4 linked regions of the Tamandua tetradactyla genome follow. The protein of the gene in region 1 purifies or fractionates together with the protein of each later gene. This does not show direct contact. Links are inferred from orthologs where the notes say so. Each region holds a gene or a part of one and is shown in the gene's direction. Other genes may lie near its edges. The genes, in order: PSMD1, RAD23A, PSME1 and PAAF1.

Region 1 (7,114 bases):
CCAGCTGCCTCCCACCCCCAGCCCCTCGCCCAGACCTGGTGGTTCACCAAGCCATGGGGTAGGGGGACCCCAGTGGTTTCCAGCAGTCAGCTGGCCTGGTGCAGCCTCTAGTTGCTCTACTGGACGCCAAGAAGAGAGTCCAGCTTCTCCGATGGCTCCACGGACCTGTCCATGCCTCAGTGTATCCACATCAAAGCCAGCCGGCGCAGGCGTTATCCGCAGACCCGGCACTGGCTGGTATCAAAAATCTACCCCAACAAATAAATGCTTTTATTGTAAAAATGTACGAGGGCGTGTTGGAAGGGAGACAACGCCTCTGGGCTCGGCGCAGGCGGCCACGTGGGTCGGTTCCCCCGCAGGTCCCGGCGCGCGGACAGCCAAGTCCTCTCCCGCCACCAACAGAGGCGATCGGGCACGTTTCTAGATCTTTTCTAAGACGCGGCGATCTAGATGCCCCAGGCGGGAGGCTCGGCGGCGCTGTTGCCCTTTCCCGGCTCTCCGGCGTCTGAGGCGTTGGTGACCGCTAGAGGGCGCCGCGCGGGTCCCGGGGACGCCCGGAGGAGGGTGGGAACGGGCGCTCCCCCCCACTCCCACCCCGACAGAGCCCCCTGGCCCATCCACACCTGTTGAGGTCACTGGCCTGGCTTGGGCTGTCACCTGTTTTGCATGCCTTCTAAATTTGGGTGAAGGTTGCTAGGGCTTCACCAAGTTCTAAATCTCTTATGAAAAATGGGGTCTGTTTTAGAGTTTGGGATAGGGCAGAGGTTTCAAAGCCGTAGGTCAGCAAGGCCATGCGCTGTTCCCGGGTGGTGGCCTTCAGGTCTTCTGCCCTCCGCTACTCAGCCATCGCTCTCTCTTCTTAGGGTGCATCTGGCTGCTGCTGACGGCAACACTGTTTCCCCTTTGTATACAACCTCCAGCCACACCGGTTAAGACTCACCTAATTCAGCTTGGCCACACCTTAACAAACAATGACATCTGCAAAAGGACCTGTTTACAAACGGGAATGTGGATTAAGGTTTGAGCATGTCTTTTGTGGGGGGCACAATTCAATCCCCAACACTAACTAACCCTGGGCATTTATTTGTTCAATCAGCAAACATTGATTGGGCGTCTCCTATGTGCTGTGCCAAATTACAGGGAATCCCGAGATGAATATGCTGTGGCCTTGCCCTTGAGCAATTCCTTGTTCCATTTGTACAAGTACAGGGGATGTGGTTATGGCGGGGTGGGGTGAGGGCTTCAAGGTGCACGTGGTGAAGGGTGCGTCAAGGACGCCTTCCTGGAGGAGGTGCTGCTTGACTGGGACTCAAGTCATGGCGGCTGGGAGTGGGGGTGGGGGCTGGGAGATGAACAGAGAGCCCTGAGCTCAGAGGAGAGAGCAGGTGCCAAGTCAGAGGCAAGGCCCATGGCCACTCTGGGAGCCGCAGCACAGCAAGTTGGTTGGAGTGTGGCATGCCAGGCCAGAGGGGTGGCAGGCGATGACGGGGTGAGCAGGGTCAGGTGAAAGTCCCAAAAGAGCCACCGAAAAGAGAAGGTCCTGGTTTAACTTGTTTTGAATGGGGCATCTGGCCCCATGTGAAGAATGGTCTGGAGAATTGTGCAATGGTTATCAGTATTTCAAGTGTGCAGGACTAGATGAGAGGGAGCAACCCCAGGCAGGGGCGGGGGGCATTGAGGCAGCTATTGCAGCCAACCAGGCCAGAAATTAGAATCCCCAAGGAGAAAGGGGCCTGATGTATGTGGCCAAGCCAACTGGCTTTTGGCCATCTCACAGATTCTCCTGGGACTCAGTTGAAGTCATCACAAGCACAACATCCAAGCTGGTGACATGACTGTCCTTCCATAGAGAACATCTTGCCCATGAAAGATAGAGATGGTCAACTGGTCATCTGTCTGTTTTGAAGTAGTTGCAACATTTAAAAATCAGACTTTTTTTTTTTTTTTTTTTTTTTTTTGCGTGGGCAGGCACCAGGAAAAAAATCAGAAGATTTTACATGAAATTCAAATTTCTGCTTTTTCTTAAAAAAAACCATATGCTCTGGCAACAATAGCCCTGTTGCACATGGTGACACTGTAGGCACTGAGGAGGAGTGGCTGCTCTTTTAGAAGGTATACTTAACTCTTCATTTTATCACAGTCCCCACCACTCCCTATTGCCTCTCTAACATCAGCCTGCTGAGCTAGTAGTTTTTAACACTAGAGCAGCTTCACTCATTGCCATTACCTGTTGGCATTTGTTTATGACTCTTCTGGGGGCTTGGGGACACACATTATCTGTATGTGAGGGATCATTGGATGTACCTCTGTAAAATTTTACCCCAAATACTCCACCTGTTTATTTTCCATGAATATCTCTAGGTTTATGTGCAGGTTTGAGAGGGTAGATGTACCCTAGAAAAGCCATGTTTTAATCCTAATCCCATTTTGTAAAGGCAGCTGTTTCTTCTAATCCCTATTCAGTACTCTATGTTTGAATCTGTAATTACATCATTTCCCTGGAGATGTGACTCAATCAAGAGCAGTTGTTAAACTGGATTAGGGGGAGAGGTGTTTCCACCTATTTGGGTGGGTCTTGATTAGTTTATTGGAATCCTATAAAAGAGGAAACATTTTGGAGAAAGTGAGAGATTTGGAGAGAGCAGAGATGCTGCAGCACCATGAAGCAAAGAGCCCACCAGCCAGCAACCTTTGGAGATGAAGAAGGAAAACGCCTCGCGGGGAGCCTCATGAAACAGGAAGCCAGGAGAGAAAGCTAGCAGATGACACCGTGTTCGCTATGTGCCCTTCCAGATGAGAGAGGAACCCTGACCGTGTTCACCATGTGCCTTTCCAGATGAGAGAGAAACTCTGACTGTGTTCGCCTTGTGCCTTCTCACTTGAGAGAGAAACCCTTAACTTCATCAGCCTTCTTGAACCAAGGTATCTTTTCCTGGATGCCTCTGGACATTTCTATGGGTTGTTTTAATTGGGGTATTTTCTCGGCCTTAGAACTGTAAACTAGCAACTCATTAAATTCCCCCTTTTAAAAGCCACTGTTTCTGGTATATTGCATTCCAGCACCTGGCAAACTAGAACAGTTGGTTTTCCATCTAAGCCACAGGTTTTGAAAAATGTTTAATAATTATTTTTAAATGTTTAATAATTATATATTTTAACAAGTAAAGCTTAAGAACTCCCCCTCTTTTTTTGTAATTTCATACATCCTCAAGTGTGTCATCAGCCAAAGTTTAATTCATTGGCAACCATGAAACAATGATGTGTGCCACTAGATTAGCTTGTTTTGAGAAGCCTCAGAAATAAACTTTATCATCTCTAGTTGAAGGGTAACCTGATAGTGAAAAACTAGCTTTGCCATTGCTTATCTTTGTCAAGACTTTCTCAGTACTGACTATTAAATTAATTTGGCAATTGAAGCTGGGATGAGACTGCAAATGGCAATCGGTAACTGCCGTGTTAAATTTCTAAAGATATATTAGGAATCAATAATCCTTGCTATGGGTGCAGAGAGGAATTGGGCAGATGGGAAGCAAGGATGGAGACTTTTTTTTCCTTTGGAAGATTTTTCACTGTATATCCTTTTGTACATCTGTTTTTTAATCATGTAAATGTACATCACTAACTATTCAAAAGTAAATAAAAATCTTCATTGTTCAACTTTATAATAAACCAATGATTAATTATTAATCCTAATAAAGCACTTCTAAGAAGTTTTCTTTTGAAGACGGGCTCAGCTAAAACTAAAAATCGAAAATCACTTTTCTATTAAATGTTCTTTCCTCCCCCAAAGGGTCTGCAGTGAGACCTCCCGCCCAAGAGGTGGCGCGGCGCGCATCTGTTGCACCTTCCTTCTACATCTTGTCAGCAATGGCGGGTGATAGCGGGGGGCCTCTCTTCAGGGCTGGCCATGCTGCGGCCTGATCCCAAGTGTCGATGAAGCCTGGATGCGCTGGAGCTCTGGCCTCGAGAAGGGTTGATGAAAATAATATAGCTATACATACATCCTTCTGTATGAGCCAGAGCCACGGTAGCGGAGCGGAAAATGCAGGCCGGAGGGAAAATGAGCGCCTACCGACAGGCGGGGCTGCAGGCAGCTACGGAGCAAGCGGGGTCCTGGGCGAGGAGTGAGCCGGCGGCCTTTGGAGACAACTGACTGAGTAGCTAATCCCGGGAACGGGCAGTTGCGGCGGAGTGTACCGGCCCTGAGCTGACAGATACTCGGCGCGGCGAGGACGGCCAGTGAGCCGGCGGGCGAGTGCAGGGCGCAGCCATGATCACTTCAGCGGGTAAGTGTGGCCCGGAGCCGGCAGCGAAAGGGAGGAGCTGCCGCCTCGCCGGCTTTTAGCTGAGTCAGGGCCAGTGACTGGGCGCCTCCCGGCGAAGCGCCGGCCTGTGCGGCCCCTCGCTGCTCAAAGCTCATCCCCGGGAGGGCGGCTGGGACCTTGACGGGACCTTTTTTGCTGGCCTGCGACTCTCTCGCCTGAGAGGGATCGTACCCGGTCGACCGCTTTGGCGTCCCTCCCAGCCACACCCCCGTGTCCCTTCTGGAGGGGCTTTCCTTTCTTTTTTTCCTCCTGCTTTCGGCCGGGTGGGCTGTCGAATCCCTAGCCTCCCACGCAGGTGTTGGTAGGGATGCGGTTCTCTGTGCCGTCGCCTTGTGAAGCAGCCTCTGGGCGGGCAGTCGAACTGTTTCTAAGCGCGGAGGTCACTCCTAGTGAAATTTGACATGGTTTGAAGTGGATAATTTCTGGATCTACTCCGAGGGGATTCAGCTAAAACACTCAGAAAACATTTGCGTTCGGCAGTAGCACGCGGAGACTCACCTGTTTGAGGCCAGATGCTTAGTAGTAAATACTGCACATTCAGAAAAAACTGTGGTTCAGGTTTCATGCTTATGAACTTGCACCTCTTTCCCATAAGTTTTTTTCCGGTTAAACTTTGCATAAATAGAAGTCATGTAATGACATTTGAAATGGGATAACATAGAAAACAAGTTTTGAACGGAGATCTAAACCCCAGATAGAGACTGGGATTTATAGTTACAGAGCCAGCTATAGACTGATTTACATGTAGTTGTCCGCAACTCTGGTGCTTTTTTTTTTTCTGCCTGCTCAAACACCCTCTTCTCCTCCGGTTTTGCTCTACACTTGTCCCACAAGTATTTTGTTGTAAATAAGCTGGTGATCAGAAAATAACGTATATGGTAAAGAGCTCAAAACCATGTTCTTATGAGGACTGGTTAAAGAAGCTCTAGAGATGTCGGGAGACGGTATAGTTCTTTTCAAAGATTTGAAGGACTGTCACCTGTACTTGGAATTAGACTTTTGCCTTGGAGGAATGCCAATGATTGATTGGGACATCAATTTTAGTTCAACATAAGAGCTTTTCTAGTCAGAACTGTCTAAAGTTAAAACAATCACTAACTTTCTGGCTACCCCTAAATGGAGGCCTCATTCTATATCAAATCCATCCATTACCTCTGCTTCTAGCTTAGCCCAAACCACCTTCATCTCTTGCCTGGGTTACTATAACAACCTTAAGAAGACTTTGTTTTTCCACTGTTACTTCCATACAGTCTCTTTATCCTGTAGCCAGAGTATTCATTTTAAAACTTTAATCGCATCATATCATTGTTTTGCTTAAAATTCTCCAGTGACTTTCTATTGCGTTTAGAATAAAATTCAGACTCTTGACCAAAGACCTACGTATTCCGATTCCTACCTCATCTCATACTACTCTGTTCCTTTCTCACTACAGCTCATCACATGGGCCTTCTTTATGTTTCTCGAAAATGTCCATTTCTTTCCTACCTCAGGACCCTTGCACATTCTGTTTTGTCTAACTTGACTCCTCTTTTCTCAAGTTTTCCTTTAGTTTCTCAGTGTTTAGTCTCAGCGCAAATGTTAGTTGCTTCTGACCATCCTATTAAAACATGCTTCCTATCTTCCCACTAATTGACTTATCCATCACAATCCTATAATTACCTTGTTTCCTGATTACTATCTTTTTCCACCTGGTAGAATTTTCATGAGGAAACTTGTCATTTTTACAATTCCTACTATACTGCCTGACACATGGCAAAAGTTTTTAAAAAAACTATATCTTGAATGAAGCAGTTAAATTAGTAAATCAATCACTACAGATTTTTATGGAGGGGCTGAAAAAGGACTTATTGGGACTATAATAGAATTAAAACCTCCTGAGGGTAGTGGGACTAATGATTTTCCAGGTCCTCTCCTGAGATTCTGTGATGTTAATGTAATGTTTACATATTATTTACTATTTGTTAAATTTACTAGATTACCTGTCACCATCTGCTCCAAACCTTTTATCATTTTGTTTCCTGACCTCTGGTTCACATTGGCCTAGGACCTGTCCTAGGTGTTAAAGAGTCCAGTGACATGGTTCTGTGTTTATTAGTCAGGTTATTTATTCATTTATTCACTGTGTATTGAGTACTTTCTAGGTAGGCAGTGGTGAATAAGAAGACAGCATGCTCTGTTAATTCTTTCCAGAAGTTTTAGGTGGTAGAGAGCTAGAGATAGGTAGTTGCTGGAGGAGATGTGCATTTTTTTTTTAAACATAACATGGGCACATAAAGGTAAATAGTGCTAAAAAGCTATAACATAGTAGTCTCCCATCCTCTTTCTGATCCCTAGAGGTAGCTCTTTCAGTTTGCTAAAACTGCTGGAATGCAATATACAGAAATGGATTGGCTTTTATAATGGGGATTTATTAGGTTACAAATTTAGAGTTATAAGGCCATGAAAATGTCCAAATTAAGGCATCCAAATAAAGATACCTTGACTCTGAATGCATCCAGGGTTCTTGTCTTCCATGGGAAGGCACTTGACAATGTCTGCTGGCCCTTTTCTCTGAAACGTCTCTGCACTTCTCTGTGTTCTTGCTTGTTCCTTCCTTGGTGTTTCTCTCTGAGTTCTCTCCAAAATGTCTCTGCCTTTTATACTCTCATAAAGGACTCCAGTAAAGACGATTCAGACCCACCTTGAATTGGATGGGCCACATCTCCATGGAAATAACCTAATCAGAAAGTCCCAACCAACAAAAGGTCTGTACCCACAAGAAAATTAGAAAAACATGACTTTCCTGGGGG
Region 2 (6,938 bases), on another chromosome or scaffold:
CAACAAGGACATCCGTTGCAAGGTGTGTCTGAGGGGTGGGGTGGGGGTTGGTGGGGGGAAGGGCAGGAATCCGGGAGGGCGGGACTGCTCACCTCCCACCCTCCTCAGGATGATGAGTTCACACACCTGTACACACTCATCGTGCGGCCCGACAACACGTACGAGGTAAAGATCGACAACAGCCAGGTGGAGTCGGGCTCCCTGGAGGAGGACTGGGATTTCCTGCCCCCCAAGAAGATTAAAGATCCCGATGCCGCCAAGCCAGATGACTGGGATGAGCGGGCCAAGATTGATGACCCCACAGACTCCAAGCCCGAGGTTGGTGCCTGGACAGGGACCACCACTGTGAAAGGGGTGGTGGACATGTGGGCTCACTCTGATGTCCTCGTGGTTCCCCGACTCTCCCCCCCTAGGATTGGGATAAGCCTGAGCACATCCCCGACCCTGATGCAAAGAAGCCTGAGGACTGGGACGAAGAGATGGATGGAGAGTGGGAACCGCCAGTGATTCAGAACCCTGAGTACAAGGTGAGCTTGGGTTCCAAGTAAGGGCTGGGGTACAGGGTGGGGAGGGCACCGGCCTCTGTTCACCATGCCATTCTCTTCTTCCCCAGGGCGAGTGGAAGCCCCGACAGATCGACAACCCAGATTACAAAGGCAAGTGGATCCACCCAGAGATCGACAACCCTGAGTACTCCCCTGACGCCAACATCTACTCCTACGACAGCTTCGCTGTGCTGGGCCTGGACCTGTGGCAGGTGCGACCCAGAGTGGGAGGAGGATCCTGGGGGCACCTCAGGTCACCTGCGAGGGAAGGGACAGGGTAGGATTCAGACCCAGGCAGGCCCGACTGGAAAATGCTTTGAGAGCCCTGTTGCTGTGAGGCCCTTCCTGAACCTTTACAGTCCTAAAGGCACTTATTGAGTGCCAGGGCTCTCCCTGAGTACCTGTCATTCCCTCCACCAATCTCGGGGGTGGTCAAGCAGCCCTGTTAGAAAACTTTGCTTTGCTAGCAGTGGCAGAAATTTGAAGTCGCCAGCCTAAGGCCATACAGGCGGGAAGGGGCAGAGCTGGATTGGAACCCACCCCTTGTGGGTCTCGCAGCCCCCATTTTTTAACTGCAACTTTAGCTGTGCTGCTTGGTCCATGAGGTGCTTCTTGACTGCTGCAGAGATGCGGCGGCATCTAGTGGTTACAGGAGCACCGCGGGTGGGAGTTTTCCCAAGGCCAGGGCCGTCTTGGGTAACCCACTCCTCACTCCATTCACCCCCAGGTCAAGTCTGGCACCATCTTTGATAACTTCCTTATCACCAACGATGAGGCGTACGCCGAGGAGTTCGGCAACGAGACGTGGGGTGTCACGAAGGTAGGATCGGGCTCCCCCTACCCAGGTTTGAGGGAGCAGACGCAGGGCTGGCGAGTGGGGCCTGGGCACTGAGGCAAAGGCTCTGTCCCCCACAGGCTGCAGAAAAGCTCATGAAGGACAAGCAGGACGAGGAACAGAGGCTAAAGGAGGAGGAGGAGGAGAAGAAACACAAAGAGGAGGAGGAAGCGGAGGACAAGGAGGAAGAGGAGGACAAAGAGGAGGAGGAGGAGGAGGAGGAAGAGGACAAAGAAGAAGAGGAGGAAGATGCTGCCGCTGGCCAGACCAAGGACGAGCTGTAGAGGCCACGCCGCCCGCCTCCGGGGCTGGACTGAGGCCTGAGCGTGCCCGCCACAGCTGGCCGCTCCAAATAATGTCTCTATGAGACTGGAGAACTTCTCATTTTTTTCCAGGCGGGTTTGGATTTGGGGTGTGGTTTATTTTTTGTTGTTGTTGTTTTGTTTATTTTGTTCCCTCCCTGCCACCTCCCCCCAACCTTTTTTTTTTTTTTTTTTTTTTTTTTACCATGCCTTGTTTTTGATGCTCTCTACATCAGCCCCCACCCTTTGGCTTTCATCTTTTTTGATTGACATCTTTTCCTTCCTATGTCCTCTTCCTCTATCCTTTCATTTCCCTCCAGCCTGGGGGGAGGGGGTGGGCATGTGTGGAGAAGTGCCAGGTCTGAGATTCCATCTGCTCCCCTCCCTGTAGCAGGAGAAAGAGTGTGACATCCCCAGGCCCTCCAGCACTGAGGAAATTTGGGGCTCCTAAGACCGTCCCCCCAACCCTTTCCCCTTTTCCTCTGCTACTAGCACTGGGCCACTTCTGGGCGGGGCAGCGGGTTCCAGCTCAGCTCTCACAGAATGTAAAACTACAAACAAAATTTCTATTAAATTAAGTTTTGTGTCTCTCTTCGGTGTCTCCTTCTGGGAAGAGAGCAGAGATCCAGGGATCCAGAGATGGCATTTCTTGGGGAGGAGTGGCTCCTGAGTAAGGAGTTGTCTCAACATTTTTAGCTGCTAAGGAGACAAGGTTGCAGGGACCCTTGCTTGCCAGGCAATCCCAAACCAATAGGAGACTCAACTATTAAAAAGTATTCCATGTAACAACTCAATTCCTTGGACCAAACCTGAGTTTTGGTTCTAGTACCAGTTTGCTTTGATAGGTGAGGAGACTGTGGCACACAGAATTTAGTAATAGGGCTGGGTTTGAACCCACACCATAATCATCATAAGCTGAAAACAGTGGTTTGGCGCTTTAATAAACAGTTTTAATACCAGCCAGTGTGGTTAAAAGCTATCACTTCTTTTTATAATTGAATAAATAGGTTCAGAGATAAAACTTGACAAAGTTTCTCCCTATGATTTTCAGAGGCCAAGTTGGGATTTGAACTTGAAGGGCATGGACCAAAGGGAGAGGCTTGAGGTGGCATTGGGCCTCCGAAACTGACCTAGAACCCCCAACAGCTGTGCTGTCAGGGAAGTGAAAGTCCATTGAGCCGGTTGGAGAATAGGAGAAGGCCGGTGTTCCCTGTTGCAGAAGAAAAGGATAAGATGTCAGCTGGCCCTGGCCTGACCCTATTCTGGCCAATGCTGGTGGAACCTTATTGGCTCCAGTGAAGGGAGAAGCAGCAGGACCTGGTTACAGTTTGATGATGGCCATGAAGTGTCAGGTTTGGTTGAATAGCAAAAGGGGCAGCTTTGGAGGTATCTTGAGGTTGCAACTCTGTCTTCCACCTCCTGGTCTGCACTTGGGCCTTTTGCCCACTGATTGGGAGTTCAAGACCAGCTTTGTCTCTATCCAGCCCCCCAAAGCAACCGTCAGCTAAGGCAAACTGGTGCGCCTTGTTCCCTCCCTAAGTCCTTTGTATGTAGCCTGTGGCCCAGTTCAACCCCTCCTTTCTGGAAATCATGTCTTGTTCTCCAGGTGCCTCCAGGATTGCAGCACCTATGTACTCAGTGGAGAAAGGACTTGAAAACTGATGTCTTAAATATCTTGGGTTCCACTAGGGATAGTGTAGGGTTAACAAAGTTGCAGGGAAAGTAGCAGCAGAAAGGGGAGAGATCCCCCAAAAGGCAGATCCCCCTCAGCAATGAATGAATGAGGCCCCCAAAGAGGGTGTCCTGTTTCCACGCCCAGATGGATTTTTTTTAACTTTTTCATTTCTTGGTGATCTTCCAAGGATCCTTTCCAATCTCAAGTACCTTCCATATTCCTGGCCCCGCAGCCCGCCAGACCAAAATAATGTAAAACTCGTTTGTTAAGGGGAAAAATCCTAAAGATTTCACAGAAGAAATACAAATGTCTAATAAGTACGTGAAGAATTTTGCTCAACTTCAACAAATGAAAAAGCTCATTTGGGCGTGGAAGAGGGGACTCCGGGGCCATTTTGTGGTCGCATGACGTCACCGCTAGGGGCATGACGTCATTCACAGGAGCCACCTGACTGGCGTGTGCTCTGAGTTTGGAGCACTCCCCCGCTTCCCGCGGAAGCAAAGTTCAGTTTGCGCATGCCTGGCCCGAGAGGGCGCTGGTGCGCATGTCCACGAGGATCCGGAGGGGCGCGCGCCCCGTCTGCCCCGGAAGCGGTCGGCGCGCGGCGCGACTGGGCGCTAAGATGGCGGCGGCGTGAGTTGCATGTTGTGCGAGGATCCTGGGGCCGCCGCGTTGCTCGGGCCCCGCCATGGCCGTCACCATCACGCTCAAAACGCTGCAGCAGCAGACTTTCAAGATCCGCATGGAGCCTGACGAGACGGTGCGGGTCGGGTCGGGGCCTAGGGGCGGGAGCGACGGGTGCCGGGGCTTAGGGTGGGGGCGGGGAGACCGGGATCCTAGCGGGAGGGGCGGAGAGGACAGTGCTGGCCGGCCCTGTCCTCTCCCCCACTTGCTGGACTAACCCCGACGAACCTCCGCTGACGCGGTCTCAGACCGTGGTATCTGGGGTCGGTCTCCGGGCGAGGCCCCACCCCCGCGGCGCCCGCCAAGTTGCTACTCCAGTTCCAATGTCAGCGCCCTCACGGGGCGCGGGAGCTGCAGGCTCGGATTCCCAGTCAGACCACGCTCTCCTACACTGGTACTCTGCCTTCCCAGCACTGCAGGAGGCATTTCGGGAGGTTGGTGACCGAATCTGGGAGGGTTGACCCGGAGATGCCGACTGGTGCTGGCGACGATGACACTGATAATAAATGGTCGCAATCGTAATAGTTTCGGCGGTCCGAGTTTGTTGGCGGTTCATTGATTACCAGTTGTTGAGCGTTTCGGAAACCTTGTCTTACTAAATCTGCAAAACAGCCCTGTCGTTTTGGGGATTCTGACTCTCCCCATTTTACAGATGTGGAAACCCAGGAGTTAAAGAATTTTGCCATAGACACACACAGCAAGTAAGTGGCAGAGCTGGGATTCACATTTCGTTCTGCCTCATGTGAGAGTCCATGGTCTAAACATGATGCCCCGGTTTTAGCTGAAAGAAGATTTAGAAAACTCAAACATATTGAATGGGTAATTACATACCCAGCAGTTTTTGCACAACCACCCTGTGGAGGAGACACTGAAGTCCACTTTTTATAGAAAAGGACACAGACTGAGATTTTTTGAACAGCCCAAGGGTTTGATTTTGGCAAATTATTTAATTTCAGTTTTTTCAAACGGTAAATGTAGTTGATGTCACCTGTTTCATGCAGTTATCATGAGGCTTAGAAAGTGTGATACTACACATTTAGATTAGCACTGGCAACTTAGGAGGTTTTCAGTAAATATCAGCTACTTGTTGACCTTATTGTCCAAGGTCAGCCGCAAGGTATAGGTGACCCTCTTCTCTTTATTCTGTTTTTTTATTGTTGTAGTTTATATCATCTGAAGTGTATATTAGTGTCATGTCCGTGAGAACAGGGACTTGCGTTGGGTTTTGTTCCCTCCTGTGACCTCAGTTGTTTGTGATGTGCAGGCATTTGGTAGACACTCCACAGAGTGTCGGGATGATTGAAGGAATTCAACTCCAGCTTCTTTGTCATCAGTGCTTGCAGTCTCTCCTTTCCTAAACCAGAAGAGAAGAGGGAATCTTGGGTTTAGCAATGAGTGCCTGTACCTTTCCTTCCAGGTGAAAGTCCTAAAGGAGAAGATAGAAGCTGAGAAGGGTCGTGATGCCTTCCCTGTGGCTGGACAGAAGCTCATCTATGCTGGCAAAATCCTGAGTGATGATGTCCCCATCAGGGATTATCGTATTGATGAGAAGAACTTTGTGGTTGTCATGGTGACCAAGGTGCATAAAGGGTGCTACCTGGGAGGGCAGTTGGTTTAGCTGTGGAACTGGCTAAGGGCCCATGTGCCCAGGACAGATTAACCATAAACAGGGTGGGGCCACAATGGGACAGGATGTTGGGGCTTGATAGGGGTGCTGACACCCGCTCCCTTTCCCTGGCCGCCACAGGCCAAAGCTGGCTCAGGCACCTCGGCACCCCCAGAGACCTCCCCCACAGCTGCCCCGGAGTCCTCCACAGCTTTCCCACCAGCCCCTGCCTCCGGCATGTCCCATCCCCCACCAACCACCAGAGAGGACAAGAGCCCATCGGAGGAATCAGTCCTCACCACGTCCCCGGAATCCATATCAGGGTAAGGCAGGGGGCAGCTGCTCCGGCTTGGCCCCAGGTTTCCCAGCCCATTTTAGCGCCTGCATCTGTGGCCCCACACTCCTGGGTGGGGGAGGGCAGTATGCCAGAAGCCAGGGTCCGATTTCTCTCTCTTGAATTTGCAGCTCTGTTCCCTCTTCAGGTAGCAGCGGGCGAGAGGAAGACGCGGCCTCCACGCTAGGTGTGTGGGTGATCCCCAGGGTGGAGGCCACCAGGTTCCCCAGCCATTTGCTGGGCCTCATCTGGGTGTCGGAGAGCCTGGGCATGCCTTTCCCTCCCCCTGGTGACCCAGATTTTGCTGCTCCCTTCACAGTGACTGGCTCTGAGTATGAAACGATGCTGACAGAGATCATGTCCATGGGCTATGAGCGGGAGCGGGTTGTGGCTGCTCTAAGAGCCAGCTACAACAACCCCCACCGAGCTGTGGAGTATCTGCTCACGGTGAGGCAGGGCTGCCGCTTCCCCAAGGAGGTCTTGGGAAGAGGCAAAACCTGCTCCCAAAAGACTGGGTAGCAGGAAAGACTTCCTGCAGGAAGGTGGATGTGAGCTGTGGGGTGGGCCTAAGGAGGGCAGGGCCAAGGCCTCCCCCATCTCCTACCAGGGCAGGGCAGGGCATGCAATAGAGGGTGGCGGGAGGTCTGTGCATTAGAACTCAACAGGACCTCTGTCAGGGAATTCCTGGGAGCCCTGAACCAGAGCATGGCTCCATCCAGGAGAGCCAGGTGTCGGAGCAGCCCGCCACAGAAGCAGGTGAGGGACAGGAAAGAGGGTGGGGATGGGGTGGGGTGGTCTGCCCTCGTGGCACCTGAGCCAGCCCGTGGCTCCTGGGAGTCCTGCAAGGTCTCTGACTGCACCCCCTCCCACTGCTAGCAGGAGAGAACCCCCTGGAGTTCCTGCGGGACCAGCCGCAGTTCCAGAACATGCGGCAGGTGATTCAGCAGAACCCAGCGC
Region 3 (7,965 bases), on another chromosome or scaffold:
CAGATTACAAAGCAGCCCTGGGACCAGACTAGCCCCTTAGAGCCCTTTTAGATCAGTCAGAAGCTGGGCCGGACCATGCCCCCAGGGTTCACAGTGCAGTGAAGTAGGCAGCCCTACTGAGCTGCCTCCCAGGGCCTGAGTTGGAGACAGTGCTGTGTACAACCACCTTGCAGCATCCTGACAGCATTGGGCTCTTGTACGCATAACCCCAGGAGAGGGGGCCAGGACTGCACTGACGATGAGGCAGACAGATTTTTTTCAGTGCCTTCTAAGGTTTGATCATGATCCTTGATGGAAGGGGGATTTGGGCTGACCAAACAGGCAGGCAGAACCAAGTAGGCTGTGGATAAGGATAACCCTGAATGGCAGGCCTGGCCCTGAGAGATGAACTAGAATATGATTGGAGCTGGGAACACAGACCTGTACGTCATGGGGACACCAGGGCTAACGGAAAAGGGCACAGGCGGCTGTCAGGACACAAGCTACCACACCAGAGACCAGGACCCTGCTGACGTGGCAGTCCTCTGCCCCAGCCTCACTTCCCCATTCCCCCATAACTCTGTTCCCTCCCCCCACCCCTCGCCCCTGCCTGTCAGCTGCTAACAGGGCTCTGCCCTGTGTCTGCCACACCTGTCACTGCCTGTCCGTGTCCGGGGGTGGGGGCCCCATCAGCCCCTCCTCAGCTGCCCGGCAGAGCAAGCAGTTAGTGGGGAGGGGAGGGAAGATGGAGCGGGGGCCAGCGGTGGGGGCAGGGCCAGGGCTGGCTGCCGGGACCCGGATCCGGGCACTGCTGGGCTGCCTGCTCAAGGTGTTGCTCTGGCTGGCCTCTGCCTTGCTATACTTTGGAAGTGAACAGGCTGCTCGCCTCCTGGGCAGTCCCTGCTTACGGCGCCTTTACCACGCCTGGCTAGCAGCAGTGGTCATCTTCGGTCCTCTTCTGCAGTTCCATGTCAACCCTCGGACTATCTTCGCCAGCCACGGCAACTTCTTTAACATGTGAGTCAACTCCAGGCTAAGGGAACCGGCTCCCTACACTCTGGGATTCGAGCTCCCTCCCCCAGGCCTCTGTCCTGCCAGCCTAAACACTAAAAATAGGCCAGGAGGTTGAAAAGAAGGTGGGCGGGGGGAGGGAACAGAGTTATGGGGGAATGGGGAAGTGAGGAGCAGGGCTGAAGGGGAAATGCGGATCCAAGAAGGCTAGGTGGTCCTCTAGGGAGATGGCAGCGTTTCAGTGGTCGGGGGTTGTGGAGGGCACGGGAAACAGAACCAGTGATGATGTGACACTGGACGCAGAATTGTGGATAAAGCAGAGATGGGGACACAGACCAGGGTGGGGAGATGCAGCTGGGGGGTCTCAGTGGTCTCCCCTCTTCTCTGCCCACAGAAAGTTTGTGAATTCAGCGTGGGGCTGGACGTGCACCTTTCTGGGGGGATTTGTGTTGCTGGTGGTGTTCCTGGCCACACGGCGTGTGGCGGTGACCGCCAGGCACCTGAGCCGACTGGTGGTGGGGGCAGCCGTGTGGCGGGGGGCCGGCCGGGCCTTCCTGCTCATCGAGGACCTGACGGGTTCCTGCTTCGAGCCTCTACCCCAGGGCCTGCTGCTCCACGAGCTGCCTGACCGCCGCAGCTGCCTGGCAGCCGGCCACCAGTGGCGGGGCTACACGGTCTCCTCCCACACCTTCCTGCTCACCTTCTGCTGCCTGCTCATGGCTGAGGAAGCAGCAGTGTTCGCCAAATACCTATCCCATGGGCTCCCGGCTGGTGCCCCACTGCGCCTTGTCTTCCTGCTCAACGTGCTGCTGCTGGGGCTCTGGAACTTCTTGCTGCTCTGTACCGTCATCTACTTCCACCAGTACACCCACAAGGTCGTGGGTGCCGCCGTGGGCACCTTTGCCTGGTACCTCACCTATGGCAGCTGGTATCATCAGCCCTGGTCCCCAGGGAGCCCAGGCCATGGGCTCTTCCCTCGTTCCCACTCCAGCCATAAGCACAACTGAAAGAAATAAAGGACAGCACGCCTGACTCTGGGTCCTCTCATCATTTGACCGGGGCTTGGGAGGGATGGGAAGGGTAGGACGACGGCCTGGCACCATTGGAATTCTTTAGGCATTCCTTGCTGGCACCATGAATGTTCCTTTTCCTGGGACATCCCTCCCACTGTCAGCCTCCTGACCCTCACAGAGCCATCTGGGGTTGGGATGTCAAGGAATGGTGCTGATAAGGCAGTTAACAGCGTCCTTGAGTGTGGGTATCATTTTGGGCTGAGCAGATGCTCCATCCCAGCCCCATCCCTTCCTGGCCCTGCCCCCCATACACTTACACACACACACACACACACACACACACACACACACACACACACACACACACACACACACACACACACACACACACTGAATCTCTCCTCTGACCTCCTCAGGACCTTGCTTCTCTGGGCACCCCACTCAGGGGCTCTTCCTCAAAGAGAGTCTGGGCGTGTTCATTCATTTAACAAATATTTATTGTGCCGAGCAACATTTCATGCTATGAGTGAGAGAGTTTCTGCTGTAGAGGAGCTTATGGGCTACAAGGAGAGGCAGATGACAAACACAAATAACAGCAAATGCATTGTGCTTCTGGACCAGCCAGACACCTGTCTAAGTTTATACATTCTTTATGTAAATTCACACATTTATTCCTCATCACAACACTTTGAAGTTTAGTAGTGTTCCCATTGTACAGTTGGGAAAACTGAGGCCCAGAGGTTAAGTAACTTATTACAAATTAGTAAATAGCAGAGCCAGGATTATTAGCCCAGAACTATATGGGCGTATTATCTATGTTCTAAACCTGAGGTTAGCAAAATATAGCCTGTTCATGGCCAGCTTTCTTGTGACCTGTGAGCTAAAAATGATTTATATATATATATTTTAATTTTTTAAAGTTAATTTTATTGAGACATAATTTACACACAATAAAATGCATCCATTTTAATTATATAAAGTTCTATGAGTTTACACACACACGTAACCACCACCACACTCAAGATACAGACGATTTCCATCACTTTCAGGAGTTCCTTCAGCAGTCACTCATTTTTCCTCTGATATTCTAGTAGTTGAATAAATTGAATATAAATTATTTACCCATTCTCGAATAAATATTTGGATTGTTTCCAAATTGGGCTTTTACAAATATTCTATGAACATTCAAATGAATGCTCCTAGAGATGCCTGGCGTATAACTAAGAATGGATTTATAAGATTTCTAGGACACACACCTTCTACTTCACTAGAAAATATCAAGTTGTTTTCCAAAGTGATTGTACCATTATGTATGTTAAATACACAGCGCAGGAGTTTTAGCTGGTCTACATTCTTGCCGACAGTCAATACTTTAATTTGGGCTAACCTGAGCGTAAGAATATTTTATTTCAATTTAAATATGTCTATCCATATGCATATGCAAGTGAGTATCTTTAATGTAGCTGCTGACCATTATAACTTTCTTTTTTGAAGTGCCTATTTTGCCATTTTTTCTATTTGGTTGCTTGTCTTTTTTTCATCGATTTGCTTTATACTCTGGATAATAATCCTATGTCTGAATAATAACTCTTCGTCAAGAATATTTGTTGCAGATAGATGGTCCCCGTTTTTGCTTAGTAATTTCATTTTTTATGATGTCATGATAAGCAGAAGTTAGTAATTTGAATATGGCTAGATTTATTAAATTTTTATCATTTGTATTTTTGCATTTTAAAAACTCATTGCCTTCCCAGTGCCTGCTCATGTTAAAAAAAAACCATTGCCTTCAAGTTCAAAAAGGAATCTCCATTCAGTTTGACAGGATTTATATTTTTTAATGGTTGGAAAAAATCAGAAGATTTCATGACATGAAAATTATATGAAATTCAAATTTCAGTGCTCAAAAATTAAAGTTCTACAGGAAACCAGTCATGCTATACGAATATTTAGGTATCGTTTATGACTGCTTTCCTGCTATGACAGCAGAGTTGACTAGTTGCAGGGACTGTATGTACTCACAAAGCCTAAAATATTTACTATCTGGCTCTTTACAGAATAAGTTTGCCAACTTCTGGTCTAAATCATTACAATATTCTGTTTCAAAAAATAAACTAGGTAATATCGGAGAGTTAAGTGCTGTGAAGAACTAAATCAGGCTGCTGTGTATTTAGAGTTGGAGGGAGGTACTTTAGAAAGGACGACTGAGAGTTCTCTCTAAGAGGTGACATTTGAGCCGAGAGCCCAGCGGCATCCCTAGCCAGGGAAAGGTTGTTTCAGGCAAAGGGATTAACAGAGGTAAAGGTCCTGAGGCAGGGATGAACATGACCCGTTTGAAAAGTGAGCAGAAAGGTCAAGTGTTTGCAAGTGTAATGAAGGAGGGGGAAACAGTGGGAAATGAAGCTTGAATGGGAGGACAGGTGCCAGGCAGGCCGGGCAGGGCCTTATGGATCAGGCAAGCCCTTTTGATTTCATTTTAAGGTCAACAGGAAGCTGTGAAAGAGTTTGAAGCCAGAGGAAGGCATGGTCCCTCTATTTTGTGGAGAGTGAGTTATAGAAGAATGGAGGCTGCAACAACAGTCCAGGAGAGTCCAGGGAGCTTGGATCAGGGTGGTGCCAGCGTCTGCATGTCTCTCACCGGCTAGAGGATGCCCACGCTGGCGGGACGAGCTCCCCCTCTGAGCCGCAGGTAAAGCTTATCACTGTGCCAGGCCGAGCAGGGGAGGAGAGCCGGTGAGGAGTGGGGAACCAGGAGCTGAGAAGTTAGGACGGCAGGGAGTCAAGAAGGTGGGGCGAGGTGGGGAGCCTAGGGCGGCGAGGAGGCGGGGATGCCAGGCCGAGAGGCGAGGAAGCAGGGAGGGCGGAGAGGCCGGGAGGCGGGAAGCGGGGCGTCGAGAGGCGGGGGATAGGGGGGCAAGAGGGCGGAGACAGGAGGCCGGCGGTCGAGAGGAGGGAGGGAGGTGGGAGACCGGCTGGGCGGGGGAGGTCGCTGGAAAGGCTCCTTTTGGGCTCTAGGGGGAGCCCCGCCTCGCTGCCTTCCTCCGCCCCTCCACCCCTCTCCTATCCCCGGCCTGTCCCGCCTCCTCCAGTACCTACACTCCCCGCTACCCAGGAAGGCCGGGCGGGTGGCGAGGGCTGCTTTCGCTTTTCCTTCTCCGTGCCCACTCCTCGCTCCTCGTGCGGCGCAAGGCGGCCCGCCGCGACCATGGCCACGCTCAGGGTCCAGCCTGAAGCCCAAGCCAAGGTGAGCGCTGCGGGTTCCAGCAAGGGCCCATTAGGGAGGCGTGGTGCGGAGAGGCTCCCTGATCTGCCCTCCCCCTCCAGCCCCGGACATGAAGAGGGGGGTCAGTCCACCAAGGCCACCTGTCTGGAGCACCTGAGCTCACGTGGAAACCGGAGAGGCTGCCTGCCGAGAGGCGAGGGGGCCGTGGTTCAGTGGGGTGAGGTGAAGCAGAGAGCTGGCGTGCAGGGGAAGTCCGCTGGCCTGGGGCCCTGGGCCACACACAGACAGGGTGTGGGGCCAGCAGTGCCACCTGATGGTCTTTCTCACAGAGGGCCCGGGACCCCCTCCATCCCTTCCCCAATCGCAGGGGGTTCTGTCCTACAAGTCCTCTGAACATGGCCTAACAACCCAGGGGATCTGCTCCCACATCAGCAACTCACCCTTCACCACCAGGAACGTTCTCAACTTCCAAATCCAGCCGCAGGGGAATCTACTTCTCTCTCTGGGGATCTACACTACTTTCCCCAAATCTAGACCCACAGAGATCCACTCCTGTACCACCCGGATCAAACCCCACAGAGATCCATCTCACTTTCTTCAAGTCTGGCCTTAGAGGGATTCACTCCACCCCTTCCCAGGTCCAGGCCCTACATAACCCTAAAGGAACTGTCCTCAAATACTGGCCTTCAAGTCAGGTTTCTGAGGGGTTGCCTGTGCTCCGCAGGTGGATGTGTTCCGTGAAGACCTGTGTACCAAGGTGAGACCTGCCCATCAGCCCTCCCTTGCCAGCCCTGCTCCACTGCTTAGGAAGGACATTGATTTTGACCCCATCCCCCCCCACCCCCACCTGCACACAGGCAGAAAACCTGCTTGGGAGCTATTTCCCCAAGAAGATTTCTGAGTTGGATGCATTTTTAAAGGTACTATGGCCAGGCATGGGGATAGAGAGTAGGGGCCAAGGGAAGAATTTGGGGGACTAGGAAAGTAAGGAGAGGACCCCCTTACCTTCAGCCCTTCTCCCACCCTGCACCAGGAGCCAGCTCTCAATGAAGCCAACCTGAGCAATCTAAAGGCTCCGTTGGACATCCCAGTGCCTGATCCAGTCAAGGAGAAAGAGAAAGAGGAACGGAAAAAACAGCAAGAGGCAAGCTCAGGAAAGCTGGGGGAGGGACCCACCCTAGAGGGAAATCATCCTTAAGCCTGACTTCCATAAGCCCTTCTCTCTCTCTGCAGAAGGAAGACAAAGAAGAAAAGAAGAAAGGGGAAGATGAAGACAAAGGTACCTGAAACCAGTCCAGTGGAAAGGATCTTAATTCCCACCCCCCAGGAGCTCCTCCCTAAGAGTTCCTCTTCCCTTCCCCACCCCTCACTCAGGCCTGATCATGTGACTGACTCATTGCCCATTCCCCAGGTCCTCCCTGTGGCCCAGTGAGCTGTAATGAGAAGATCGTGGTCCTCCTGCAGCGCCTGAAGCCTGAGATCAAGGATGTCATTGAACAGCTCAACCTCGTGAGCCCTCCCACGTCTACCCCCAGGCTGCAGATGGAACCCTTTGTCCTCCTTGGTCCCCGCCAGTTAGGGCACGTGGCACCTGCCAGGTCTTAGTAGGAGTGGGCACAGCAAGTGAAGCCAGAGCAGGCCCTGAGGCCCAGGATGGACTGGCTCACCCTCACCCACTGTGGGCAGGAAAGCAGGAGCGTGCAGGAGCCTGGGAATTGGGTGGGACAGGCTGTTATGAGTTTGACACAATTCCTTCCTCCCAGGTCACCACCTGGTTGCAGCTGCAGATACCTCGGATTGAGGACGGGAACAACTTTGGAGTGGCTGTCCAGGTGTGAGGGCTCCCCCACTCCCTGGTCCTCCTGTTCCCTCCGGTCCTTGCTTCCTTCTACTTTCCCCAATGCTTTCTTTCCCCAGGAGAAAGTGTTTGAGCTGATGACCACCCTTCACACCAAGCTGGAAGGCTTCCACACCCAAATCTCCAAGTGAGTGACCACCCACTCATACCCACACCCACAGGCACCCTCTGCCTTTGGTCTGGGTACAGAGGCCTGGGCTCATACTGCCTTCTCCCTCTCCTCACACCTCTCCCACTTCCACAGGTACTTCTTGGAGCGTGGTGATGCCGTGACCAAGGCAGCCAAGCAGCCCCATGTGGTAGGTGAGGCCCAGGCCAAGGTGCATGGAGGGAAGGACACACTGGAATGAAGTCAGGCCCTACCCTCAATTCTCCCTCAGGGGGATTATCGGCAGCTGGTGCACGAGTTGGATGAGGCAGAGTACCGGGACATCCGGCTCATGGTCATGGAGATCCGCAATGCTTATGTGAGGAGGGCAGGGCAGGGCCGGGCAGGGATGGGCAGAGACAGCTTTCCCAGGCTACCTATACCCTGACCGTGCAGGCTGTGGGTGAAGGGTACAAAGCTAAGCCTCTTCACAAGGCTGGAAATGAGGCACAGAGCTTCTGGGGGCCTCTGGCTGATACCCACTCCTCCCCTGGTCCTGTAGGCCGTGCTATATGACATCATCCTAAAGAACTTCGAGAAGCTCAAGAAGCCCAGAGGAGAAACAAAGGGAATGATCTACTGAGAGCCTCCTGCCTTTTACCAGGGACTCCAGACTTTCCCCCCACCTCATCCTGTTGAGGTTTCTCTCTCCTTTGCCTCCCAGGGAAAATAAATATAGTCATACCGGTCGCTGCCCATCAGCCCAAGTCTCTTTATTGGTTCCTGGTCCCCCTGG
Region 4 (7,539 bases), on another chromosome or scaffold:
TTATTTTTTTCCCTGTGTTCGTTTTCTTTCTTTTTCTATTGTCTTTTTCTTTTTCTGAATTAATGCAAATGTTCTAAGAAATGATGAATATGCAACTAAGTGATGATATTGTGAATTATGGATTATGTAGTTTTATTTTTTAATTAATAAATTAAAAAAAAATGATCATGGTGATGAATACACAACTATGTGATGACATTGTGAGCCACTGATGGTAACCATGTCAAGAATGTTTGTATGTCAAGAACATTTGTATGTTTGTTTGTTGTTTACAATTAAAAGAAATATATATATATATATAAAAGAAAAAAAAAGTATTTGCAAAGTCCTTTTGAAGGACTAGGGAGAAAGAAGGAAATATTTAACTTCCCCATCTGTGGAACTCATAAGATTCTTACAAGCAGCAGGGATATCCAGTTCAATAGGCTGAGCCTCAATTTTGGGGTTCGCCCCTATGAAACTTATTCCTGCAAAGGATAGGCTAAGCCTACTTATAATTATGCCTAAAAGTCACCCCCAGAGAACCTCTTTTGTTGCTCAGATGTAACCTTTTTCTCTAAGCCAACTTGGCGGGATACTTTATTTAAATATGCCTATTGTTAAGCTAACTAAGATAATCCATTTTTGGTGGTTCTAAATGTATTGCTTCCTTAAATAAAAAATAAAAATAAAAAAAAAAAAAGGATTCCTGAAAGAGGAATTACTGTTTAAATATTTTAAATATTACCCTTCAAAAGTTTTACTAATTTATGATCCTTTCAATAGCGTGAATATTATTATTTATTCTGGATGGTAATCCTTTGTGTTACATGTTAGAAATAGGTAATGTCCACTTGAAGTCTTGAAAAGTTCTACTCAACTCCGCCTCTCAGACCTTTGCTGACAGCTCCAGTCCACACTGCTTGCTCCTTCTAACGACCCACAGCACTGAGCCTATATGGTCTCGTAGAGATTCAACTTTATATATGTACCCATTCATCCCACTATAAGCTTGAAGGTGGAAATAGGATTTTATTGTTCTTTTGACTGCTTCTCCTATTATCATCTTTTCTTCTTCCCCAAAATACCAACACAAGGTTCAGAGTAGGTTTAGGTAGACCTATTATACTTTGGACTTGGATTTCTAATATATAGGTGCCCAAGAAATGTTTGCTACTTATGATGTGAGCATATGACCCTCTTTTCATATCAGCTTCTGTGGCATTCCACTCCATGCCTTAAAGGGCTAAGCAGGAAGTAAGTGAATGTTTTTTCATGGAAGAAAAATGAGAAGTTGTAGCAACTCTTATGAAATAGAGAACACAGCACCCCAGAAAGGAGACACTGTAATCCAGATTTACCAAATTATTGCCAAGTGGGAAAACAAACTCCATGTTGACAGATTTTCCATTTTTCAAAAGCTGAGAAGTCTGCATTTTAATGTTAATGATAATTTATAAGTGTTAGGCCAATGTTGTGTTTTTGGGGGTTGGGATTTGTTGAGGCCACATTCTGTATCTGATTAATTCAGAGGTCTGGCATATAACAGGTATTCAGTGTTTGCTGAAAGAAGTCTTCCACTGCTTTCTTTCTCCCTTTAGACCAGATGAAGCATTCAGAACAACTGATGAAAGCTAAAGGCAGTTATGTCATTGTCATGAATTTGTTAGCTTTTCCAGTATTGTTTTATTTTTCTCTCAAACTGGACTCTAAGCAGCATGAATGCAGTGTTATTTTATTTCTTTCAAACTAGACCCTAAGCAGCATGATCTTGTTATTTATCACATCAGCTTCTAGCACATGTGCCAACACATGTGCCTGGCACATGTGAAGAGTCTCAGAACAATTTCCTTTTGTTACATCAATGACTGAATAAACAAAGATCTGATCAGGCCACCAATTTACCTTTAGATGTGAATTTACATTTAAAATTAAAAAAGTCTATGTAATCAGCTCTTTCCACACTGACTCAGATCTGGGGTAGCGGGGCACCCTTAACTCATTTTACACGGCAGTACTGGTGGAACAAGATGGGTAAGATGTGTGGGATCTGACTATGAAAACATGACAGTTATGTCCAAATTCATGGCTATCTGGCTCTCAACCCGTCCTAAAGGGTATCCCCAAGTTTTAGATCTCAGGGCCCACACTTCCACCATTTAGGATTTCTTCCTATGATCTCTGGGTGCTGCTTTCTTCAGGGCCATCCTCTGGGGATAGGTAGCTTGGGATGTCAGTGGTGGGCACTGGTTTGTTCTTTCTTCCTCTGCAACTCCTCCCGCCGCCTTGCCTGCTGTTCACTCATACAGTCCCTGAAGGCTCGCACCTCTGGCTGGCACTGCCGCCAGTCCTGGTGCTGGGCCATGCACTCCTGCACTGCATAGTGGGAGGCAGCACAGCCAGAGCGGGAGATGAGCTGATCCAGCGGGTCCTCTTCATCCTCCTTCTTCACTTTCTGAGCCCAAGTATGGCCATTAGGGACTGAGGTTGACATCTTGGGGAGACTCTAGAGCATCAATGGAGGCAAGGTTAAAGCAGGTATATGATTTATACATGGTTCCTCTTTTATAAATAGTACTTACCAAATCACACTGTTACAGCCTGTCTTTCTCTGCTAGACTGTATGTTCTTTGAGGACAGACAGTGGGCCTGATTCTCCTTGCTGCCCTTAGCACTACCTAGCACTAGGCCTGGCGGAGAACAGGCTTGCAAAATGGTTTGAACTGGACTGAAAGAGATAAGGTATGTGAGAACACTTAACACAGCAAATGGCACTAGATATGCTCAATGGATTCTACTAATAGAATAGGTGCTCGATGAAATGTCACCTTTTTGGAGAAGCTATCTCTAAAATTCACCCCAACAGAATTAATCTCTTTTGTTTTCTACTATTGGCCTTATATGCCTGGAGAAGAACAGAATTTAATATTGGGGAGAATACCTAAATATGGGTAGGGTTGATACATGAGAGGAATGGAGAGAATTTAATGTGGCTACAGCATACAATATGCTGGGAGCAGAGCAAGAGTTGAGTCTGTGAGGGAGAGCGCTTTGTCAACTATACAAAAATGTGAGGTATTTGCCCACTATCTTTTAAAGATTACCTGCCTCAGAGTACTCATATGGAAAGAACTTTAGAAAAGAGTGAGAAAAAATGACATCAGACTTGGTACAAATTTCACCAAGAAAGGCTGTAATGGAGCTAGGAAACCTTAATGTCTTTCCTGTGTCTCTGACTCACTAAACAAATAATCACTGAGTCCCTCTAGTACCAGCACTATGCTAGAGCTGATGATCAGGAGTGACTAAGACAATCCATGCGTACATGAAGTTTACAACATAGTCAAACGATAGTTTATTATACAGTGTGACTAAGACCGGCAAGACAGAAGAGGGCTACATACTCAGACAAAGGTAGGAATAGGCTGGGAAGGTTTCCTGGAGGAAGTGATTCTGAGCTAAGCCTTGAAGGATGAATTGCCTTGAAAACATGAATGAGTTACCCATGGATGGGGAGGAAGAATATTCCTGGCCAAGGGAAAAGCATGTCCAGGCACAAGAGTGGAGAAAGATTCAACACATAAGAAAATAGAAAGTTCATTCTGACTGGAGTATAGAGTATGGGGAGAATAGGGCAACAACAACAACAAAAAACTGGAGTGCTGAGATATGTCATCATGGCAGGACCTTGCAGGCCTTGTAAAGTAGTTTACTTTTTATCCTGAAGGAATGGGGAAGTCATGAGAGGGATTTCAGGGCTCTTTGGCCCTACACAAAACTCTTGCTTTGAAAAACACTATAATCTTAAGAGGGTTGTTGGAAAATGGGCTTTGAAAACAGACTTGAGTTGGAAATCCAGTTTTGTCAGACTCACTGGGTGATCTTGGGCAAGCTTAATCTCTCATGAAAAATAGAAGTAAATAATTTCCACTTTGCAGGATTGTTGAAGACTAAATGAGCTAATGCACGTAAGGAATCTGACACTTCCAGAGTTCAATAAATGATGGTTCCTATGGCATGTTTCCTCTTCCTAACCACACTGACTTCTTCAAAGGCAACAGACAAATCTTTTAGATTATGCACATGGGGCAGTGCCCTAGATCCTAAGCCAAGAAAGAGATCTGGGTTCCAATCCTAATACCACGCCTCACATGTAACTTTTTAGTTTTGTTTCCTTGTTAATAACATTCAATTGCAGGATTAAAGTGAAGAATAATATAATAATTGGTGAAAAAATGCATGGACTACAACAGGGACTCAGTAAATACTACCGTACTCTTCCCCCATTATTTCCCGGCTTCAGTGTCCCCAGGAGTAAAATGAGGAAGACCCTTGTTCTTAAATCAGAACGTCGGCAGCCAGACTGTGCAGGGCGATTTGGAAAAGGAAGGCACGGAAAAAATGGGAAGACACAGAAATCCAAGTGGCCAGGTAACCTAAGGCTCCTCCCCACTTTAAGGAGAGGAAGCGTGCCGTCAGTCCCCGCACGCCACCCGGCACGTCACACCATGCTCACCCGGTAGGGACACAGAGGACCTGAACGCGCGCTCCTGCGTGGCGCGTCGATTTTGCAGCGACAGTCTGGATAGCAGCTAGGCTCTTTCTTCGCTCCTCTCAAACACCGGCCCCTCCAGCCAGGCCTGGGCACGCATAGGAAGGGATGGGGCACCGCGTATTTTCATTGGTGGTCTCTTAGTGTAGCTCCCGCCCTCCGCTTTCTCCTCAGCCTGTCCTGGGGAGCCACTTCCGGGAAAGAGCCGAGCAGGTGGAAGAGGCCGGCTGGTGGAGGTGGGGTCAACATGGCGGCGCCTTTGAGACTTCAGAGCGACTGGGCTAAGGCCCTCAGGTGAATCCAAGCCCAGAACGAGGTGGGAGGAGGCGGGGAGCGGATGTTGCCCTTGCATCAAGGAGAGCCATGCCCGGTCCAGCGTATCCCTAGTGGATGCCTCATCAACTGTAGAGAGAGCTGGAGGAGACTGGATCTAGAAAAGATGTTTCAAATCCACATAGTCATTGATTTTTACTCTCTGAAGAGCTGTCTTGAGGCCAAACGGACGGACGCTGTGTGACCCCAGCGTCAGAACTTGATCATTGAGTTGTAGAAAGACAGGAAAACTGGGAGGCAGGAAGACTCTTGGCCCAGGTGTCATTTAGCAAAGATTTATGGGTAATCAACTGTTTGCAAAAATTCCAGTATCCACCACCACACCACATGATCTTTGCGTGATAAAATCTTTGTATCTTCCTCAGTGCCTGACGGTATATTAGGCATATTGACAGTTCTATTCAGGAGACAGTGTAACATCTACAATTCAGGCCCACTACTACATTCTAGGTGGAGTTTAGAAATGTACTCTGAGTTTCAGGGGTGGATCCTGCCCTCAAAAAGTTAATCATGTAATTTGGGAAAGCAATTTGTTCACCACAAACTGTTCATTTAACATATATTTTTTGATTATGTACTAAGCACCAGGATGAGTCAGCAGTGCAACAAATGGTAACTCTTCCCTCAAGAACCAGTCAGTGTAATTGGGAATACCCAACAAACCATTTATTCATTTAACATATTTATTGATCTTCTGTATGCCAGTTATTTCTCTAGGCACCAGGATAGGTATGGCAGTGTAATAAATGCAACTGTTATTACTACTAAGGTTTTTCAAATGGAAGCAAAGATAAAGATGAATAAAGCATACTTTCACCTTGCTAAGTGGATTACTGATGTACAGATTACTTAGTGCATCACAGAATGTGTGGTAAAGTAATAAAGGATGAATACTAACATTTACTTAGTGCCACTATGTGCTTATAAGAAAATGAAGAGTCAGAATCTGAGAAATAACTTGTCAAAGATCATGCTGCTGAATAAGTAACAGTGGAGTGCTGTCAACCTAGATCTTTCTTTCTTAAAAGCTTAGGCCCTTTCCACTATAACCTGAAAGTGTAGGGTAAAGAGATCAGAATTTGAGATGATTGTAGAGGTGCATACTAAAACATGTAAAAAACAGTGTGAGGTGTACCAGCACCAGGTCTCAATTCCTGCTTCATAGATAGGTGACCTTGAACAAGGGATTCTTATCTGAGTTTCAGTTTCTCTCTTTAACATGGGATAATAAATGGTTTCTTGCTCTCTTGTTATGAGGATTAATGGTACTATATGCAAAATGCCTAGCACAGGACCTGGTTTACAATTATCCCAGTAAATATCTAAATATAAAATAACTTTGATTTTTCAAAGCTGTGCAGCAGCAAAGAAGTAGTGAACTCCCTAACAATTGAAGTATTTGAACATTCATTTAACCAGTCGATATCTATTCATCAAATACCTAATCCACAAATACTTCAACAAATAAAATTCCACTGTCTTAGAATAATCTGTGCTGTACTAGATCATGTCTATATGGCCTTTCTCCCTAGAGATATGACCTTTCTCTTTCTGCATCACTGGCATCCGTTTCAACTTTTGGTGACTCTAATTAGGCTTTTGTCTCTCTTCAATAGGAAGGATGAAGGGGAGGCCTGGCTGAGCTGTCATCCCCCAGGTAATGTCCATAAGTCTGTATACCTTCCTTTTAGAGAAGAAGGATGTACTACCCATAGACAAGAGCTTCCTACTTTCTCCTGGCTCATCCTTCTTGCACAATACTCATAGTCCTAAATTGTGCTTGAACAGCCTGCTGTACTGAGTGGTTTAAATTAGATAAGTTGTCATCAGCATGTAGATTTTGCTTCGCTTTGAATGTAGATGAAACTGTCCAGAAAGCATGTGAAAGAGAAGGAAAAAGAGACCCATGGCAAGGCCCAGAGAAGAGGCTGTTTAGGAGAATACCAAATGAAGATAATAGCAGAAAAACTAAGATGTGATAAAAGAGATAAAAGAATATGGAATATATGGTACTGTGGAGGTCTAGGAAAGCCTTAGGAAATATCAATGAAAGATTGTTCCAAGGTCAAATAGAATCTGAAAGTAAAGATGGCTGCATAGGATGGCTACTTAGGGAAATCTCCATCGATAATAACCATAATAATGATAATCTTACTAACCTCAAAGTGAAAGATACAATTAAAGATTTAGGTAATAGTGGACTCAAATTTTTTTTTTTTGTCTCCCATTTTATCACCCAGTTTTGCTTTCACAGGATTTACCACAATATGAAATTGTATTTTTTTCTCTCCCTTTCCCTACCCATTTTCTCTTTGCCACAGGATGAGACTTATCCATCTTACTCACCCTCTATGCCTCTAGATTCTGTTACATACATAAAATTTAGATACATAAACTAGACTACAATCATTTCTCCAATTACATGTGATCATTCGGTGATATTCACAGCATCTGCTTTTCTGTCCTTAATGCATAAATGTTGCTTTATTCAGACCTAGGATTTCATGAAGTAAATCTAAAAATTTATTTCTATTCACTTATCTCTCATCCTCCCCCAATATAGAATGAGGGGGGGAAATCTGTGCATTATTCGCTATTTATTAGAGTTGTTCCCAGGTTACAATGAGAAAGCACTCAGAAAAATATATAGCTAGGCAGTATTATTGCTTCTTATG

What was found.
Region 2: the proteins of PSMD1 (region 1) and RAD23A purify together in Homo sapiens (affinity purification with western blotting; 4 studies listed by BioGRID and IntAct, with this or other methods). This does not show direct contact. The link is inferred for Tamandua tetradactyla from reciprocal best matches to the Homo sapiens genes PSMD1 and RAD23A.
Region 3: the proteins of PSMD1 (region 1) and PSME1 fractionate together in Homo sapiens (co-fractionation; 3 studies listed by BioGRID, with this or other methods). This does not show direct contact. The link is inferred for Tamandua tetradactyla from reciprocal best matches to the Homo sapiens genes PSMD1 and PSME1.
Region 4: the proteins of PSMD1 (region 1) and PAAF1 purify together in Homo sapiens (affinity purification with mass spectrometry; 3 studies listed by BioGRID and IntAct, with this or other methods). This does not show direct contact. The link is inferred for Tamandua tetradactyla from reciprocal best matches to the Homo sapiens genes PSMD1 and PAAF1.

Annotation. Positions count from the first base shown.
Region 1 is NC_135329.1:207,000,415-207,007,528, forward strand, and holds the start of PSMD1 (26S proteasome non-ATPase regulatory subunit 1), read left to right. Parts: upstream 1-4,103; 5' UTR 4,104-4,270; coding exon 4,271-4,286; intron 4,287-7,114.
Region 2 is NC_135337.1:89,717,491-89,724,428, reverse strand, and holds the start of RAD23A (UV excision repair protein RAD23 homolog A), read left to right. Parts: upstream 1-3,934; 5' UTR 3,935-4,045; coding exon 4,046-4,117; intron 4,118-5,458; coding exon 5,459-5,620; intron 5,621-5,788; coding exon 5,789-5,970; intron 5,971-6,112; coding exon 6,113-6,168; intron 6,169-6,300; coding exon 6,301-6,428; intron 6,429-6,658; coding exon 6,659-6,737; intron 6,738-6,857; coding exon 6,858-6,938. Other genes in the region: CALR (calreticulin), read left to right, coding at 1-22, 109-318, 414-527, 614-757, 1,273-1,365, 1,461-1,664. UniProt on the Homo sapiens protein: Multiubiquitin chain receptor involved in modulation of proteasomal degradation. Binds to 'Lys-48'-linked polyubiquitin chains in a length-dependent manner and with a lower affinity to 'Lys-63'-linked polyubiquitin chains.
Region 3 is NC_135340.1:30,655,829-30,663,793, reverse strand, and holds PSME1 (proteasome activator complex subunit 1), read left to right. Parts: upstream 1-4,954; 5' UTR 4,955-5,205; coding exon 5,206-5,244; intron 5,245-5,947; coding exon 5,948-5,980; intron 5,981-6,080; coding exon 6,081-6,143; intron 6,144-6,256; coding exon 6,257-6,367; intron 6,368-6,456; coding exon 6,457-6,502; intron 6,503-6,634; coding exon 6,635-6,732; intron 6,733-6,986; coding exon 6,987-7,055; intron 7,056-7,140; coding exon 7,141-7,208; intron 7,209-7,325; coding exon 7,326-7,380; exon of another isoform or gene 7,381-7,384; intron 7,385-7,461; coding exon 7,462-7,548; intron 7,549-7,731; coding exon 7,732-7,812; 3' UTR 7,813-7,930; downstream 7,931-7,965. Other genes in the region: FITM1 (fat storage-inducing transmembrane protein 1), read left to right, coding at 725-996, 1,385-1,997. UniProt on the Homo sapiens protein: Implicated in immunoproteasome assembly and required for efficient antigen processing. The PA28 activator complex enhances the generation of class I binding peptides by altering the cleavage pattern of the proteasome.
Region 4 is NC_135334.1:72,048,448-72,055,986, reverse strand, and holds the start of PAAF1 (proteasomal ATPase-associated factor 1), read left to right. Parts: upstream 1-4,537; 5' UTR 4,538-4,778; coding exon 4,779-4,825; exon of another isoform or gene 4,826-5,129; intron 5,130-6,480; coding exon 6,481-6,521; intron 6,522-7,539. Other genes in the region: COA4 (cytochrome c oxidase assembly factor 4 homolog, mitochondrial), read right to left, coding at 2,213-2,473. UniProt on the Homo sapiens protein: Inhibits proteasome 26S assembly and proteolytic activity by impairing the association of the 19S regulatory complex with the 20S core.